Linked DNA regions of Arabidopsis thaliana. The protein of the gene in region 1 interacts with the protein of each later gene in a pairwise test. Each region holds a gene or a part of one and is shown in the gene's direction. Other genes may lie near its edges. The genes, in order: TT4, TT5, ARF18 and AT2G44130.

Region 1 (4,320 bases):
CTTCAGGTTCGCTCGTAACCGGATCAAACAGAGAGATACCTAGTAAATAGCATAAGAGTTCAAAGAACAAAAAAGTGTATTCCAAGCATAATACTTTAATAGAATCAAAATTGTCCATAAGTGAAGTACCTTGGTTCAGAGCAGTAGAGTGTACATCAGAAACAGACATTGAAATGGAATCCAAATTTTCTAATGTAGAATCATCCTCTGCACTAACAGAATCTTGACATTCTACTACACAATCATCCTCTATACCACTAACAGAAGCTTGACATTCTTTCTCTGATGCCATTTGGTTTGCAATTTCCGGTATAACACCACCACGAGCCTGTAAGCTACTCTCAACATCACTCAAAATTTGATCAGCTTCAACCCAAAAATCAATCTCATCCATAACATCACAACTAGGAATCATCTCAACATCTTCCCACTTGAAGAATCCACAAGCTCCAAATCCCTAACACAATTTCTTAAAACAATGTTAACCAGAATTATCAACTATGAGCTTTAAACTTGCGAACGAGTCAAAACCTTTTTGATGCAGCATATCAGGTAAGCTCTACCGGAAACGTCTTTAACTCTCCGGCAAGGTCCAGCACCGCAGGAACAAATCGGGATGGTGAAGGCAGGACGGAATTTGATATCTTCGTCGGTTACTTTGTCACACCATTTGAAGAAACAGCAATTCTGAGCCTGCGAATTTCAAATGTCGTCAGTAACAAATTCAAATTTCCTCGCGAATTTTGCAGGAGATGAAGAATCAGTAAAGAAAGCGAGTACGAACCGTTGGACACTTGTAGAACTTCCTTCCGGGATTTTCTCGAGTATTCGCGACCTTGATTTCACAGAAACCTCCGCCGCATGGGCATTGGATCGCCGGTGGAGGATCATCGGTGTAGGATTTGAGAGGACAATCGTTGATCCAGTGGCCAGCCTGACGGCATCGGAAGCAATCTCCGGTCTGCATTGTGCCGTTAAGCATTCGTCGAACATTCTCCTTCTCGGGATGTTAATATGGGCCAGGTCATCTTTTTTAAGCCCACATAATTTATTTTTAGCTATGACTGAACAAAACATGCTGAATATGGGACGGGCTTAATGGGCCTGAAGACTTTAAGCAGATTAACGAAACAAGTGTGTTGTGTATAATATGAGAACCATGTCGTTCTGATCGGTTAAAAACTACAGCTGACCAAATAACATCTATAGGCTTCTGCGGATATGACTCTACGGCGTCTACGCCTCGCATGCCTATCATATTTAACCGTCAATAATGGATTTGGCGGTTTTGGTAGGCCGGGTCAACCGGATTAAAAGAAAACGGTTTGGAGTCCTTCCTTGCAATTGAATTTTCACACATTCGGGTTTTGTGATTTCTCTGTCATAATGGGCCCGGCACATATGGTTCATAACCCATGTGGGCCTATGGTATAATTTTTCCAATTAAAACTATTGTTAGGTCGATAAAACAAAAAACAATAAAAACGAGTGGAATACACATACCAAAAAGAATGTGATGAACATTAGTAATTTTATTTTGATGGTTAATGAAAAACAAAATAAATGCATCTTGGCATCTTCCGTTGGAAAGCGCAAATAGGGCAGATTTTCAGACAGATATCACTATGATGGGGGGTGAGAGAAAGAAAACGAGGCGTACCTAATGTAACACTACTTAATTAGTCGTTAGTTATAGGACTTTTTTTTTGTTTGGGCCTAGTTATAGGATCATAAGGTAAAAATGAAGAATGAATATTAGATTAGTAGGAGCTAATGATGGAGTTAAGTATGCACGTGTAAGAACTGGGAAGTGAAACCTCCTGTATGGTGAAGAAACTATACAACAAAGCCCTTTGTTGGTGTATACGTATTAATTTTTATTCTTTTATCACAAGCGATACGTATCTTAAGACATAATAAATATATATCTTACTCATAATAAATATCTTAAGATATATATACAGTATACACCTGTATATATATAATAAATAGGCATATAGTAGAAATTAATATGAGTTGTTGTTGTTGCAAATATATAAATCAATCAAAAGATTTAAAACCCACCATTCAATCTTGGTAAGTAACGAAAAAAAAGGGAAGCAAGAAGAACCACAGAAAAGGGGGCTAACAACTAGACACGTAGATCTTCATCTGCCCGTCCATCTAACCTACCACACTCTCATCTTCTTTTTCCCGTGTCAGTTTGTTATATAAGCTCTCACTCTCCGGTATATTTCCAAATACACCTAACTTGTTTAGTACACAACAGCAACATCAAACTCTAATAAACCCAAGTTGGTGTATACTATAATGGTGATGGCTGGTGCTTCTTCTTTGGATGAGATCAGACAGGCTCAGAGAGCTGATGGACCTGCAGGCATCTTGGCTATTGGCACTGCTAACCCTGAGAACCATGTGCTTCAGGCGGAGTATCCTGACTACTACTTCCGCATCACCAACAGTGAACACATGACCGACCTCAAGGAGAAGTTCAAGCGCATGTGTACGTCTTATTAACTTCTACTTTCATTTCCTTTGGCATATATCTTCATTCACATAGTTTAGCTAACAAGTATTTACTATTCACAGGCGACAAGTCGACAATTCGGAAACGTCACATGCATCTGACGGAGGAATTCCTCAAGGAAAACCCACACATGTGTGCTTACATGGCTCCTTCTCTGGACACCAGACAGGACATCGTGGTGGTCGAAGTCCCTAAGCTAGGCAAAGAAGCGGCAGTGAAGGCCATCAAGGAGTGGGGCCAGCCCAAGTCAAAGATCACTCATGTCGTCTTCTGCACTACCTCCGGCGTCGACATGCCTGGTGCTGACTACCAGCTCACCAAGCTTCTTGGTCTCCGTCCTTCCGTCAAGCGTCTCATGATGTACCAGCAAGGTTGCTTCGCCGGCGGTACTGTCCTCCGTATCGCTAAGGATCTCGCCGAGAACAATCGTGGAGCACGTGTCCTCGTTGTCTGCTCTGAGATCACAGCCGTTACCTTCCGTGGTCCCTCTGACACCCACCTTGACTCCCTCGTCGGTCAGGCTCTTTTCAGTGATGGCGCCGCCGCACTCATTGTGGGGTCGGACCCTGACACATCTGTCGGAGAGAAACCCATCTTTGAGATGGTGTCTGCCGCTCAGACCATCCTTCCAGACTCTGATGGTGCCATAGACGGACATTTGAGGGAAGTTGGTCTCACCTTCCATCTCCTCAAGGATGTTCCCGGCCTCATCTCCAAGAACATTGTGAAGAGTCTAGACGAAGCGTTTAAACCTTTGGGGATAAGTGACTGGAACTCCCTCTTCTGGATAGCCCACCCTGGAGGTCCAGCGATCCTAGACCAGGTGGAGATAAAGCTAGGACTAAAGGAAGAGAAGATGAGGGCGACACGTCACGTGTTGAGCGAGTATGGAAACATGTCGAGCGCGTGCGTTCTCTTCATACTAGACGAGATGAGGAGGAAGTCAGCTAAGGATGGTGTGGCCACGACAGGAGAAGGGTTGGAGTGGGGTGTCTTGTTTGGTTTCGGACCAGGTCTCACTGTTGAGACAGTCGTCTTGCACAGCGTTCCTCTCTAAACAGAACGCTTGCCTTCTATCTGCCTACCTACCTACGCAAAACTTTAATCCTGTCTTATGTTTTATATAATATAATCATTATATGTTTACGCAATAATTAAGGAAGAATTCATTTGATGTGATATGTGATATGTGCTGGACAGGTCTATTCGACTGTTTTTGTACTCTCTTTTTTGTGTCTTTTTACAATATTAAATCTATGGGTCTTGAATGACATCAAATCTTTGTTACATCCACAAGGTCTCAAACTCATCATACCGAGATTGAAAACGTTCCTCCTTTGCTGTAAGTTTATCTTGAGGATTCATTTGAGGCTCTGTCGCTGTTGTATCCTCGTCTTCATATTCTCCACCTTGTCTTGCCTTGAGTACCATCTCTTCCGTAGTTGTCCCCATTATCTCGTTTGCTTCCTTCATTTCCACGCATCTATACTTGTCTTCTGAATCCTGACCAGCCCTCACAATATTTACTTAACTGAACATATTCAGAGGAACATTCTGATTAGAAGAGAGGTATAGCAAGGGACTCACACGAGATACAAGTCCAAGCTTCTCAAGCTTTGTGATAGCATCATCCACGTCGAAATTGCAGCTTTCGTTAAATTCTTCTTTGATGAATGCTTCACTTTTCATGTCAAGCTCCTCCTTTCATTGCATCTTTTGAGTCAGCCTCTACATGTATGCGGCTTTCGTATATTCATATAAGAAATTTGCAGAGTACACATACCTTGCTTGTG
Region 2 (3,756 bases), on another chromosome or scaffold:
AACCAATTGAATACACATTTGAAATTAGTGTCCTTATAATTGAATTTTGATGCGCAAGTCATTTTGATGAGAAAATTAGAAGATCAAAAATGGACAAATCAAGATACATGGAGAATTAGGATATGAAAAATAGTTTTAAAATTATTGTCTATATGTATGGAACATTAGAACATTTTGGTAGAGAGTAAATGATCAAAAAAATCTGGTTATCTGAGGTGTAAAAAGATTGGCTACTGCAATAAACATGGCACAGATGTTAGAAAATTTAAAGTTAAATGATTCAAAGTTTTATATAATTTGGGACAATTCAAAATCTTGTGACTTATATAATGTGATATTAATGTATTCACTAAACTACAAAGTAAATAATTAATTTACTTTTAAATTTGGTAGAGGTTGATTTTGCAATAATGACTATTAAATGAATAAAGTTCAAACATATCACAGTAGACGTTTAATTTCGAACTACTTATGTATATAAATCGACAATACATTTAAAGTATTTAAATGCGCAGTTAAATTGAAGCCATAAAATTTGCAAACCGAAAATTTATGCTTTCAAACTGTAAACCATTTATGCTTTCACACTGATTAAAGGGCCCTTCTATAAACTTTTCCATTAAATATTTTTCATTTAAATATTAGATGATCTTAAATGGTTTACTCAAAGTAAATATATATATATATGAAGAATTAAGAAAGTGTGGAGCATTTTAAAACTTTTTTTTCTCTAGTTTTTTTTGCTTTTTTTTTTGGGCAACGTTCGTTCCCTCGAGTCTATTAAATTTTTTGCCATTTTTGTTTTTTGTTTTTTCAGTGACAAACTCACATGGATTTCATTTCAGATTCAGTTAGATTTTATTATACTTCAGCCCAGTGTAGGAACAACCGGAACCCAAAATCTAGAGAGCATTCATGGTGGGGTTCAATAGCCCATGTAATAGCCCACTTCCCGGCATCAGAACTGACAAATCCAAAATTGAATTGAAATGTGTTTATAACCCGATTAGTTTTAATATTACGGAACAAACAAATCAAAACCATAACTCAAACTAAACGAAGTCATATAATAGATATGATAAATTTATATTAAACGTTTTATTAAATATAAAAGAGTGTTAAAAGTTTTTATTTATCTAAAATGAACATAGTTAAACGAAAACCCAACCAAATCTAAGTACAATTGTTCAAAACCAAAGTGAACCAAGTTGAATTATTGTTTTTAATTCACAAAACGATTTGTTGAAATAAGGGCTGAAGTCGTAGAAGCTTTAATAGATAAGAAAAGAAAGAGATATGTTGATATTGAGAATACCCAAAAAACTAGGATTTCTGAATATTAGAAACTAGAGAACGTAAGAAATTCTTTGATTTTTTCTTTGATTTTCCGAAAGTAAGAATTAGAGAATACTTTTTCTGAAAAGCTATTTTTTTTTTTTTTAATTTTATTGATCAATCAACTGAATACTGAATACAAAAGAAAACCTGATTTATTTATAATAAAACTCAATTTATTTATAATATAATTCAAAAACCTAGATAAACTCTAAAATAATCATATAATTATCTCAAATAACCAAAATATATAAAATCAATAATATGAAAGATAACGATAGAAAATATTTGAAATTATCCTAACTATGTGCTCTGCATATTTAAGGGCTCAAAGCTTCAACCACCAATTGTCAATGCATCTCCCAATCAAAATATAAAAAAAGAGACGAAAACGAAAGTACACGTGCTTACACATCCAACACTCGTAATCGTAACTATTGCTACCTACCCTTCTCTCTTCTACTTAACCCCAAAGGCCCCAAAAACACAATCAAGAAAAGCTCTGTAACATTATTATCAATCGAAATTCCAACCGACTCAACAATGTCTTCATCCAACGCCTGCGCCTCTCCGTCACCGTTCCCCGCCGTCACGAAGCTTCATGTAGACTCCGTCACGTTTGTACCGTCCGTCAAGTCACCGGCCTCCTCCAATCCATTATTCCTCGGCGGCGCCGGTTCGTTTGTTTGCTCTGTTCTTCTTTATCTTCTTCTTTTTCTTCGTGTTGCTGACTACGTTCCGTTTTGCTAACTTACGCAGGTGTCCGAGGCCTTGATATCCAAGGTAAATTCGTGATCTTCACCGTCATTGGAGTATACCTAGAGGGTAACGCCGTTCCTTCTCTATCTGTCAAGTGGAAGGGAAAAACTACGGAGGAGCTAACAGAATCTATCCCGTTCTTCCGTGAAATAGTCACCGGTAACTTTCTTATAAACACCAATTACTAAACGTACACGTCAAGCTAGGTTTAATCGTCTTGTTTTCAATCTTATGATTGGTTTTTTGCTTCCTTTTTAGGTGCGTTTGAGAAGTTTATCAAGGTGACAATGAAACTGCCGTTAACGGGACAACAATATTCGGAGAAAGTGACGGAGAATTGTGTGGCTATATGGAAACAATTAGGGCTTTATACGGACTGTGAAGCTAAAGCTGTGGAGAAGTTCTTGGAGATCTTCAAGGAAGAAACATTCCCTCCCGGTTCATCGATCCTCTTCGCTCTCTCCCCTACCGGCTCTCTTACGGTAATTTTTGCTTGATTTATACTTTGCTTGAATTTTGTTAATCGTTAGTGCAAATATCAAATTGGAATGAGATACTTGACATGCTTTCGCATTTAAACCACTTGCGAAGGTACTGTTTTAGGTTTTTTAAATGTAAGTACTATTGTAAAAGTTGGCGTTTGGAAGTTTGGAACGATAGTAGTTGTAACGTGTAGGTTTGAATACTTTGTTGACATGTGTTTGTTGTGAACTATACTGTTTTGTAGGTTGCGTTTTCGAAAGATGATAGTATCCCTGAAACCGGGATCGCTGTGATCGAGAACAAATTGTTGGCGGAGGCGGTTCTGGAATCTATCATCGGGAAGAACGGTGTGTCACCTGGCACTAGGTTAAGTGTTGCAGAAAGATTATCTCAGCTAATGATGAAGAACAAGGACGAAAAGGAAGTTAGTGATCACTCTGTTGAGGAAAAACTAGCCAAAGAGAACTGAGAATGATAGATTTTTCTTGTGTTTTTGTCATTTTCTATTTCTTATGTTTTCTATATCTAATTTCTTATGCGGTACTCAAGTGGAGAATAAAGAACATGCATTTACATTATAATAAAGTTTAGGAATTTCGGTGTTTTTCTTTGAAATGCTATTCTAACTTGATTTGATGATATATATGTCAAAGATGATTCAACCGTTGAGGTTTAGATGGGAGTTACTCGGAATCAGATTCCAAAAAACTCTGATAAACCTTATTCGCCAAAAACGTTATTAAAGGATGGTGCTTGACATAAGGAAATTATGGTCCAATAAATTGGAATACTCGGTTGTATTAAAGCAGAGAATCTAACGCTTTTTTGTGGGTTGCGTTTAGCATTGGTTTTGGACTTTTCGGTTACATTTTTGGGGAGTCTAATTCTGTTGAAGAAGAGAGAATAGAGAAGAGTGAAACAGATCATAAGCAACAACGTTTCGAGCTCAAAACAAAGAAGCAACGAGCATTTTCAATGAAAATTTGGTCTTACATTGAGGTTGTTGTGATGAGTCAGACAGGTTCAGTCCTGTATGTTATGTTTTGATTTGAATTTGACTTTAAGATATTGATCCGGTCTTTGATTTGGCCTATGGATCCGCAGGCCAGTCCGTGGTTCACTTGTAATATGTAAAGAAAAACATTGTGGAGCGACTCGCTCATTGTTGGACTGGGCTGA
Region 3 (5,721 bases), on another chromosome or scaffold:
ACAAACTTGTAAGTAAAAAAGAGTGGTAAGGCTATGTAATATCGTCGACGTTTTCTAGGTAAATCTTAAGCTATAAAAAAGATTTTGAAACCCAAATAGTATCGAGTGATAGCATTAGTCTCATCGGGTGGTTACAAGCCAACATTGATTCGTGTTGCAAATTTTATTAAATACAAGGGTGTACACAAATCAAAACGCAATAATATTTTTGGATCATAGTCTTTCTTCACTATCATTGGGAAAAATAAAATAAAATAAGAAAAATAGCGATAGAATTTCCTCTGTAAATGAGCAAAATTGGTAGGACAAGTCAGCATTTGACACGTGTCGGTCATGAATACGACTAAACAGCGTGGCAATTTCTCTTACTCTGACGTGTCCATGTGGGGACCACTTTCTCCTCCGACACTTCGGCATGGCTTTCTCAACTTTTTATCACTCTTCTTCACCATTCTCATTTACTAAGCGCGTGTCTCCCACCTCTATCCGATTTAATTTTTTAAATTTGACGTTTCAAAAGTTCCTTCTATAAAAGCAATTAACGATAATTATATGAAATCCGTAAACATGAATTTTTCAAATAATTTCGATTTTTGATTTGCTAAGATTAAAAGCGCGTGAAAGAAAAAAAAGAATACAGCATGAACACCAGCGACTCAGAACTGACTCGGCACGTGGTAACATAAAACTCACACGCTTCCCAAGACGCTCGTCCCATAAAGAGTCATGGCTGTGACCTTGTGCGAGTGTGGGTGTAGCCATAGCCTTTGTGGGTCCTAAATAAAAAAAACGATCAATGGCATAATGTGTAATTAACTCACATTCCACAGTGTTAAATAAAAATTAAATCTGTAACGGAAAAAACAATCTATCTGATGTTACACAAAAAAAAAAAATAACGGAAAAAAGAAAATGTGGCCGGGGTTTAATAGAGAAGCCGACACGTTTGCCTGCCACGATCCAGACACAAGACGATGTGGGTAACGGCACCGTCAAGTGCTAACGGCAACGGGGTCATCAGTAAAAAGGGCAATTTAGGGATATAGAGTAAAGTCATAAGCTTATTTATTACTATCGTCTTGATCGGACGGCTGAGATTTGCCCTCTCCTTTAAATGCACCGTACGTTTTTTTTTTACATAATAAAATGTAATTAGTTCATAAGCAATTCCCAAAACGCCGCGTGACCCTTCGTTTGCCTTTGAATACAATTTGTTTTATTTTAGCGCATTTAATATATTTGAGTTTCCTTTTTAGCGATGACATGATAAAACAAAAAACAACAATTTTAGAAAACATTTAATTAAATGAATAGAAAAATAGGGAGATTCAACTGAAGTTACTGTGGGTGGAAATGACAGGTCTCCAGGATCTGAACTAAGAGAAAGTCTCTCTATATTTTGATATATAGAGAGAGATAAAGAAGGAGAGAGTGTGAATATATGTATGTGCATGATACTGTGAGACTTCTTCAGTAAAGGAAGCAGCTTTGGTTTGCTGCGGATCGGGATAAAAACGGCGAGAAGTTTGTGATTGTTGAAGCAAAACAACACGGAATCTGAAAGGAAAGGAGAAGACAAAAAAAAAAAAAGATTTTAAGAGGAAGAGAGAGAGAGATCGGTTTCGTGGCTGACGGAAAAAAAAAGGGGAGAGATTTAGTTTTATCCAACAGTGCCTGAATTACGTTCTGCAATCAATACGGACATAACCGTCCGTTGTGTCCTGTTTATAAAGTTTTGCTTTTTTTATTTTCTCCATTGATGGGTCTTTTCTTTCTTCTCTCTCTCGTGTTTCTTTCATGGGGTTAAGACTAGTGTTTACCGCGTGAAGGTTTTTTTTTCTTTCTATTTTCTTTCATTTCCTCTCCTTCTACTTCTTCTTCTCCAGTTCTCATCTGGGTTCTTCAATGGCGAGTGTTGAAGGTGATGATGATTTCGGAAGTTCTTCGTCAAGTGAGTAGTAAAAGGCTGAGACTTTAGAAAGTTTTGTTTTTTTTTTTGTTTCTAACAGTGACTCTGTTTGGGGTTTTACTCTGTAGAATCAAAATCAGCTTTGTAAAGTTTCGATTTTTTTTTCTTTCATTTTCTCGGGAGACGAGCTTAGAAAGAAATAGAAAAAACCCCAACTTTCTTATTTTTCTCGTATAGCTTCAAAGTTCACATTTTTGTTATAGTTTTGCCGCGGAAATGTGACTGTTAGGGTTTTGTTGTTGTTTGATTTTAGGGTCTTATCAAGATCAACTATACACAGAGCTATGGAAAGTTTGTGCAGGTCCATTAGTGGAAGTTCCTCGTGCTCAAGAGAGAGTTTTCTACTTCCCTCAGGGTCACATGGAACAAGTATATACCCACCCAAAAATCATCTCTTTTTACCCCAATTTTTCTTTTTCCATTCTCTTTCTAAATTCTGGGTTTTTTTGCAGCTTGTGGCGTCAACTAATCAAGGAATCAATTCAGAAGAAATACCTGTTTTTGATCTTCCTCCAAAGATACTTTGTCGAGTTCTTGATGTCACTTTAAAGGTAAAGTTGGATCATAAATGTTAAAATGTTTTATTTCCCCTGAATCTGTTAACTAAATTTTGATTTATAGGCGGAGCATGAAACAGATGAGGTTTACGCTCAGATCACATTACAACCAGAGGAAGATGTAAGTTCTTAAAAAAAAAACTCAACTTTATTTCAGTGAGTGTTAATTTATATTGATTGGAATTGATTTCAATTTACTGTTTTGTTTGCAGCAAAGTGAACCAACAAGTCTTGATCCACCTATTGTTGGACCAACTAAGCAAGAGTTTCATTCGTTTGTTAAGATTTTAACGGCTTCAGATACAAGCACTCATGGTGGATTCTCTGTTCTTCGTAAACACGCCACTGAATGCTTGCCTTCTTTGGTAAATATATTCTTAAAGAAACCTTCTCAATTCAAGAAACTTTAGCTTGAATTCTCACTCCAATTTTACACTTTTTAGGATATGACACAAGCTACTCCTACTCAAGAACTTGTGACTAGAGATCTTCATGGCTTTGAATGGAGGTTTAAGCATATATTCAGAGGTATTGATTCTAATCTTGGTGTGTTTTTGTGAAACTGTGTTTGGACTAAATGAGACATTGACTCATTGAGTGCCGTTTTTGGTTTAGGACAACCACGGAGGCATTTGCTTACTACGGGTTGGAGTACATTTGTATCCTCGAAAAGACTTGTAGCTGGAGATGCTTTTGTGTTCTTGAGGTACTTTTGAAATTGAAACTTTATTCACTGGTCTTGTTTAGTTTCATGAACCTAAATGTAATGCCTTTGTGTTTTTCAGGGGTGAGAATGGGGATTTACGGGTTGGAGTGAGACGATTAGCTCGGCATCAAAGCACAATGCCTACTTCGGTTATTTCAAGTCAGAGCATGCATTTGGGAGTTCTTGCTACAGCTTCTCATGCTGTGCGTACAACAACAATCTTTGTTGTCTTTTACAAGCCTAGGTATATAGTAATGTTCTTTAGATGATTTTGCTTTATATACATAGATGGTTTAGGACTCTTTGATTGAAGAAAAGTTTTCTCTCTTTGCAGGATAAGCCAATTCATAGTTGGGGTGAACAAGTATATGGAAGCTATAAAGCATGGATTTTCTCTCGGTACCCGATTCAGAATGAGGTTTGAAGGAGAAGAGTCTCCTGAGAGAATGTAAGAATCCATTTTCTCTGATCATTTCTTTTTTGTCAGTGTTCTTGATTCTGAAACCTGGAACGTCTTCAGATTTACTGGTACGATTGTGGGAAGTGGAGATCTATCTTCACAATGGCCAGCTTCTAAATGGAGGTCATTGCAGGTTCAGTTAACCATTCCACGTTCTTACATTTTAGTGTTTTACTTATTACGTGGTCTTTATATAACGTTTTTGTCTTGGTCTTTCTTAGGTACAATGGGATGAGCCAACAACAGTTCAGAGACCAGATAAAGTCTCACCATGGGAGATAGAGCCTTTCTTGGCAACTTCCCCAATTTCAACTCCTGCTCAACAACCACAATCGAAATGCAAGCGGTCAAGACCCATCGAGCCATCAGTTAAAACACCAGCCCCACCTAGTTTCTTGTACAGCCTCCCTCAGAGCCAAGATTCCATTAATGCATCCCTTAAACTGTTTCAAGATCCATCACTTGAGAGAATTTCAGGTGGATACTCCTCAAACAACAGCTTCAAACCCGAGACTCCTCCTCCTCCAACGAATTGTAGCTATAGGTTGTTTGGATTTGATCTCACAAGCAATTCTCCTGCTCCAATCCCTCAAGACAAGCAACCGATGGATACTTGTGGAGCTGCCAAGTGTCAAGAACCCATCACTCCAACCTCAATGAGTGAGCAGAAGAAGCAACAAACATCAAGAAGTCGAACTAAAGTAATTTTCTTTATCAACTCATATAATAACATAGCAACAATGTTTTGAAAATCTGATTTCTTTGATCTTGGATTGAAAAAGGTGCAAATGCAAGGCATTGCGGTTGGTCGTGCGGTTGATTTAACACTGTTGAAATCTTACGATGAACTGATTGATGAGCTTGAGGAGATGTTTGAGATTCAAGGACAGCTTCTTGCCCGAGACAAATGGATCGTTGTCTTCACTGATGATGAAGGAGATATGATGCTTGCTGGTGATGATCCGTGGAAGTAAGTTCTAAAATAACAGAGTTAAACATTTCCGGTTTAGCTCAAATCAGTTAAATGTGAACTTAAACCGGAACTGATTTTGCAATGTTCTGTTGTGTGGGATTGTGCAGTGAGTTTTGCAAGATGGCAAAGAAGATATTTATATATTCGAGCGATGAGGTTAAGAAAATGACAACGAAACTGAAGATTTCTTCGTCGTTAGAGAATGAGGAATATGGTAATGAATCATTCGAAAATCGTAGTAGGGGGTGAGAGTTTTAGCTGTTAATTAAGGTTAATTCGGCGACGTCGTTTTAGTGCGTAAGTGTCTAAAGACTTTTTTTTTAGTCTGTGTATATAAAGTCTTGTCCTCTTTTTCATGTCAATTTTTCAAGTTGGCGATTTAATATTTCGGTTTTGGGACAGTGGTTGATGGGGCGGTTTTACATCTTTTATGTGTATGTACTTGTTCCATAACCATTCAATTTTCAAAACCAAGTACATTCAATTAGTTATGGGTTCAAAGATTATATTTCTAATCAATAATTAAGGCTTAAAAAAAAAAAAACTACAGTATTAGAGAAGAATACAAAATACGTGAAGGCGTGGAAATCAACGCGGCGGGCATCATATGAAAGTCATGGAAAAGTAAAGGAGTCAAACGACTAGTTAAGATTCTCTTTTGGAGTTGGTAAAAATATTTGTGGATTAATGAACTTCTAGGATATAGTGTTATTAGAAAATTGAACTGAAATCGAAAAAAATGAAAACTAAACTTTGGAAGTTCATGTTATCGTGCCAAAAATAAGTCTCCATGATGTTCTCTATAAAAATTCTTAAGTTTTAATTTCCAAACCTTTTAGCTGCATCAGATTTTTCTTTAATAAAATGCAAATGACAAAAGAAAGAAAATCTATTTTGTTTTCGGATAAAGTCACATATGAAGTGTATACTGTAGTTGATATTTGTCAAAAAAAAAAATATTGTTTTAAACTTTTAATTCAGATTTGCCTTATAATGAAGAAGAAAACAATACAATTATTTTCAAACTTAGTATTGGTTTGGTGGTGGTTATGTACT
Region 4 (3,583 bases), on another chromosome or scaffold:
CATTCTTATTATTTTCCTTCTTATCCCCGACTTTCATTTTTCTTCTTGTCTATCTATGTTCATATCGTGCGCTAACACCCAAATTAATCTTCTTCCCTTGAAACATGTTTTAAATAACGGCACAAATAGTAAGCGTAGATTCATAAATAACCCCAAAGTAAAACAACAGAAAGCATCATTAATTATCCGGTGGAGACGAGATGACTTGTGTGAGGCTGGAAGTCCGCGAGACATACCTTTACGTCGGTGCATCGCAGAATAGACGTGTCAACGTTTTAATATAATATGTTGAATAATCGAAGAGTAAGACCCAAGGATAGTTAATGCCAATGTATATCCATGAGAACTTCTTCTAGAAGACTATAATAAAGTAGAAACCTTTATAAAGTTATAATCAATCATAATATTATTGATGAATCTTATATTCAAACGAAACTGCCCTCGCAATTTTCTACGTAAAATAATACGTATTACAAAATTAAAAACACATGATGATATCTTACAACTTATAACAACTAAGCACAAATTTTTTGGCAAAACATAAAGAATCTATACATATGGACTATTCGTGAAAGAATTTGTTTGATAGTGCGTGCACATGCCAATATGAAATGAAAATGTCCATCATACATATTAATATACCTGTTTTAAATTGTAGTAAATTAGGGAGAAACAGTTCACGAGATGTTTACTTATCGGTTGACGGTTGCGTCAGTGAATACGACTCATTCCTTATTACTCCATATTATTTGTCTTTGCATAGCTTCTAGAAGCTTTTTGTTATTTCAAATAAAAAGTGATGGTAAAGACTAAAAAGCTCACTACTGGTCTTCGTGAACTTTATTATCAAGATGTCATAGATTCGGTTTCAATTGACACTGAAATGGAATAGTAATCTAGATATCTAGTTGATAAACTAGTTTAAAAAGTTATTAGTTCAAACTGTTTTTAAACTATAGACGCTATACAGTGGTAAAAGCGTTAAACAAAAAGTGCGGCGCAGTATACTGTCAATTTAATTTGTGATTATAATATACAATATTGTTACCTAACTTCACTTAACCAAGTAACCACTGACCTAACTTCAACTATTTGCCTTTACAATTTACATCATGAAACAACATGGACATTTCTTGAATTTTTGGTTGATATTCAAATAATCAAATTCTTATGGAGTATATGATTTACTCCACTGTTAGTTGTTCATTTTGTCCTTATGAAAGTCTTCTAGAAGCTTTCTACTTTTCCTGTTTTATGAAAAGATTGTTTTAACAAAAGCACCGTCTTCATGAACTAAACCAGTTGTTATAGATTCCATTTCAAAGTTTTATTCCTTATTAAGGAAATCGCATCAAAGTAACCCATGTGTTGACTCTTGCCTGTTTGGTGAGATTGAAAGGGAATGATTAAGAAATAAATTTTTAGATACGTTTGCGTTTTGCAACATACACGAATCTTGATTTTTTTCATACGCTGCTAAATCAAGTTTATAGGGGTTTTTAAAAATTTAAACGAACCGTCGCGTTATTTCAACCGCAAGCAAACTCATCCTCCTCTTTCCCTATTTAAAGGCTCTGCCACCTCTTTGTAGCTTCACACTCACTCAAATTTAAATCGCAACTTTCGTCAGTTTTTGTGTGTTTTCTTCTACACATAGACACTTTGCTCAATCAAACACACTCTCTGTTCTGTTTTTCTCAAACTTGTTTAAGTTCGATGACTATGGAAGTGTCGAAAAAGAAAGGTGGAGATTTTCAGCAATGTCACGAATTGATTCCCGGTTTACCTTCCGAACTAGCTTTGGAGTGTTTGGTCAGAGTTCCGTTCCAATTCCAATCCGCCATGAGATCCGTTTGCCGTTCTTGGCGTAGCTTACTCTCCGACTCTTCTTTTATCCAAGAACGGCGGAGATGCGGCAAAACAGAGCTTCTCCTCTGCCTCGTTCAACCGCTAACGCCGCCAATTCCAGCGTCTAAATCGGTTGACGAGACATTAATGGTTGACGAGAAAAAATCAGAGGATGAGTCACACCCGCGCGTTTTCTGCACGCCGCGTTTTGGATTGAGCGTTTACAACGCTGCGATGTCCACGTGGCATCGCGTTGCGTTTCCAGAGGAGGAGCAGATCCCGCTTTTCTGCGAGTGCGTCGTGCTTCAGGACGCCGGGAAGATTCTGCTCATCGGCGGTTGGGATCCGGAGACGTTACAGCCGACGAGAGACGTTTACGTTCTGGAATTCGCCGGAAGGAAGTGGAGACGAGGTGCGCCAATGAAGGAATCACGATCATTCTTCGCCTGCGCCTCCGTAAGTCCAACGAAGGTATACGTCGCCGGAGGTCACGACGATCAGAAAAACGCTTTACGCTCGGCGGAGGTGTACGACGTCGAGAAAGACGAGTGGTCGTCGGTTACTCCGATGACGGAAGGAAGAGACGAATGTCAAGGATTCGCCGTTGGTATGGGTCTAAGGTTTTGCGTGCTGAGCGGTTACGGAACGGAATCTCAAGGAAGATTCCGATCTGACGGAGAAATTTACGATCCAGCGACAGATTCATGGTCGAGAATCGACAACGTCTGGCGATTTCCAGATACTAGCCCGAGAGGTCGCACCGCCGGAGACTTTAGAAGCTCCTCTACGTTATGGTGTTTCACAGACACTGATTTACAGAGTGAACGTCGATGGGAAACTAACGATGATTCGAGAAATTTGAAACTGGATCTTCAATCTATACAGCTTCCGATGACAGGAAGCTCAGTTTTCGCCGGAAGCTTAGGAGGTGAATCGGTGGTAATGATTGGCGGTAAAAGAGAGAGTGAAGGTGAAGGTGAAGGAGGAGTGATGATGAAGATGACGACTGAGAAGAAAATGGGAAAATGGAGTCATCATGTTCATATACCTTGTGATTTCTCTACTCTTCCATTTTCGCATGCTTCAATCTATGTTTGAAAATCCCAAAAGATTTTATAGTACAACATTGTGTTCTGATCTGATGTAATATACACCAACACATATAAAAAACAAAGAACTGGTTAACAAAAGGAAAAAAAGAATTGTAGCTTGAGATTGTTAAAATGTTTGACGATGATCATGATCAGAGCATTTGCCAGTCATCTTCACGTTCATCCTCGCTGTCGTCATCCGCAAACCCGTAGTTGCTTTGGTTTATCGCTGTGTGGGTTTGAGTCACTGTGAACAATGGAGCACCGTTTGATTCCTCAGCTAGTTTCAATGCTCGGAGACAGAAATCGTCGAAATCATCTGTTGAAGATTAGGGAAAGGTTTTTTCAAGTTACAGAATTTAAAAACTTTTGGTTTCAGAGAATGTAGTAATACAATACCTTTGTCGCGGCAATAGAATCCTAGAGCTAGAGATGGGTCGAGTGATTCCAAAGGAACATAACGAAGGACACTGATGCAGATTCAAGATAAAATTAAGAAACAAGATAAAACTGAACCAGGCAAAAGTCGTCTGTGACATGATAATTTGAGGAGACTCACTTGCAATGATAGGAGGATGTGTCAACATCTGGTGTTTCCTTGTTGACTGTGACCACCTAAATCAATCATCAAACGATAAGTCTCA

What was found.
Region 2: the proteins of TT4 (region 1) and TT5 interact in binary tests that used the Arabidopsis thaliana proteins (3 or more experiments, as listed by UniProt).
Region 3: the proteins of TT4 (region 1) and ARF18 interact in binary tests that used the Arabidopsis thaliana proteins (3 or more experiments, as listed by UniProt).
Region 4: the proteins of TT4 (region 1) and AT2G44130 interact in a two-hybrid assay, tested with the Arabidopsis thaliana proteins (one study listed by BioGRID).

Annotation. Positions count from the first base shown.
Region 1 is NC_003076.8:4,486,452-4,490,771, forward strand, and holds TT4 (Chalcone and stilbene synthase family protein), read left to right. Parts: upstream 1-2,024; 5' UTR 2,025-2,310; coding exon 2,311-2,503; intron 2,504-2,589; coding exon 2,590-3,584; 3' UTR 3,585-3,811; downstream 3,812-4,320. Other genes in the region: AT5G13920 (GRF zinc finger / Zinc knuckle protein), read right to left, coding at 1-457, 532-693, 785-982; AT5G13940 (aminopeptidase), read right to left, coding at 3,812-4,030, 4,115-4,228, 4,311-4,320. UniProt on the Arabidopsis thaliana protein: The primary product of this enzyme is 4,2',4',6'-tetrahydroxychalcone (also termed naringenin-chalcone or chalcone) which can under specific conditions spontaneously isomerize into naringenin.
Region 2 is NC_003074.8:20,429,538-20,433,293, reverse strand, and holds TT5 (Chalcone-flavanone isomerase family protein), read left to right. Parts: upstream 1-1,696; 5' UTR 1,697-1,878; coding exon 1,879-2,011; intron 2,012-2,094; coding exon 2,095-2,253; intron 2,254-2,352; coding exon 2,353-2,576; intron 2,577-2,821; coding exon 2,822-3,046; 3' UTR 3,047-3,235; downstream 3,236-3,756. UniProt on the Arabidopsis thaliana protein: Catalyzes the intramolecular cyclization of bicyclic chalcones into tricyclic (S)-flavanones. Responsible for the isomerization of 4,2',4',6'-tetrahydroxychalcone (also termed chalcone) into naringenin.
Region 3 is NC_003074.8:22,886,266-22,891,986, forward strand, and holds ARF18 (auxin response factor 18), read left to right. Parts: upstream 1-1,623; 5' UTR 1,624-1,905; coding exon 1,906-1,951; intron 1,952-2,002; exon of another isoform or gene 2,003-2,222; coding exon 2,223-2,338; intron 2,339-2,421; coding exon 2,422-2,520; intron 2,521-2,590; coding exon 2,591-2,647; intron 2,648-2,738; coding exon 2,739-2,891; intron 2,892-2,969; coding exon 2,970-3,054; intron 3,055-3,141; coding exon 3,142-3,232; intron 3,233-3,311; coding exon 3,312-3,476; intron 3,477-3,566; coding exon 3,567-3,680; intron 3,681-3,752; coding exon 3,753-3,825; intron 3,826-3,913; coding exon 3,914-4,393; intron 4,394-4,474; coding exon 4,475-4,662; intron 4,663-4,772; coding exon 4,773-4,914; 3' UTR 4,915-5,190; downstream 5,191-5,721. Other genes in the region: AT3G61826 (uncharacterized protein), read right to left, coding at 366-458; AT3G61829 (uncharacterized protein), read right to left, coding at 926-1,057. UniProt on the Arabidopsis thaliana protein: Auxin response factors (ARFs) are transcriptional factors that bind specifically to the DNA sequence 5'-TGTCTC-3' found in the auxin-responsive promoter elements (AuxREs). Could act as transcriptional activator or repressor.
Region 4 is NC_003071.7:18,252,015-18,255,597, forward strand, and holds AT2G44130 (Galactose oxidase/kelch repeat superfamily protein), read left to right. Parts: upstream 1-1,595; 5' UTR 1,596-1,716; coding exon 1,717-2,946; 3' UTR 2,947-3,040; downstream 3,041-3,583. Other genes in the region: AT2G44140 (Peptidase family C54 protein), read right to left, coding at 3,092-3,258, 3,339-3,409, 3,499-3,554.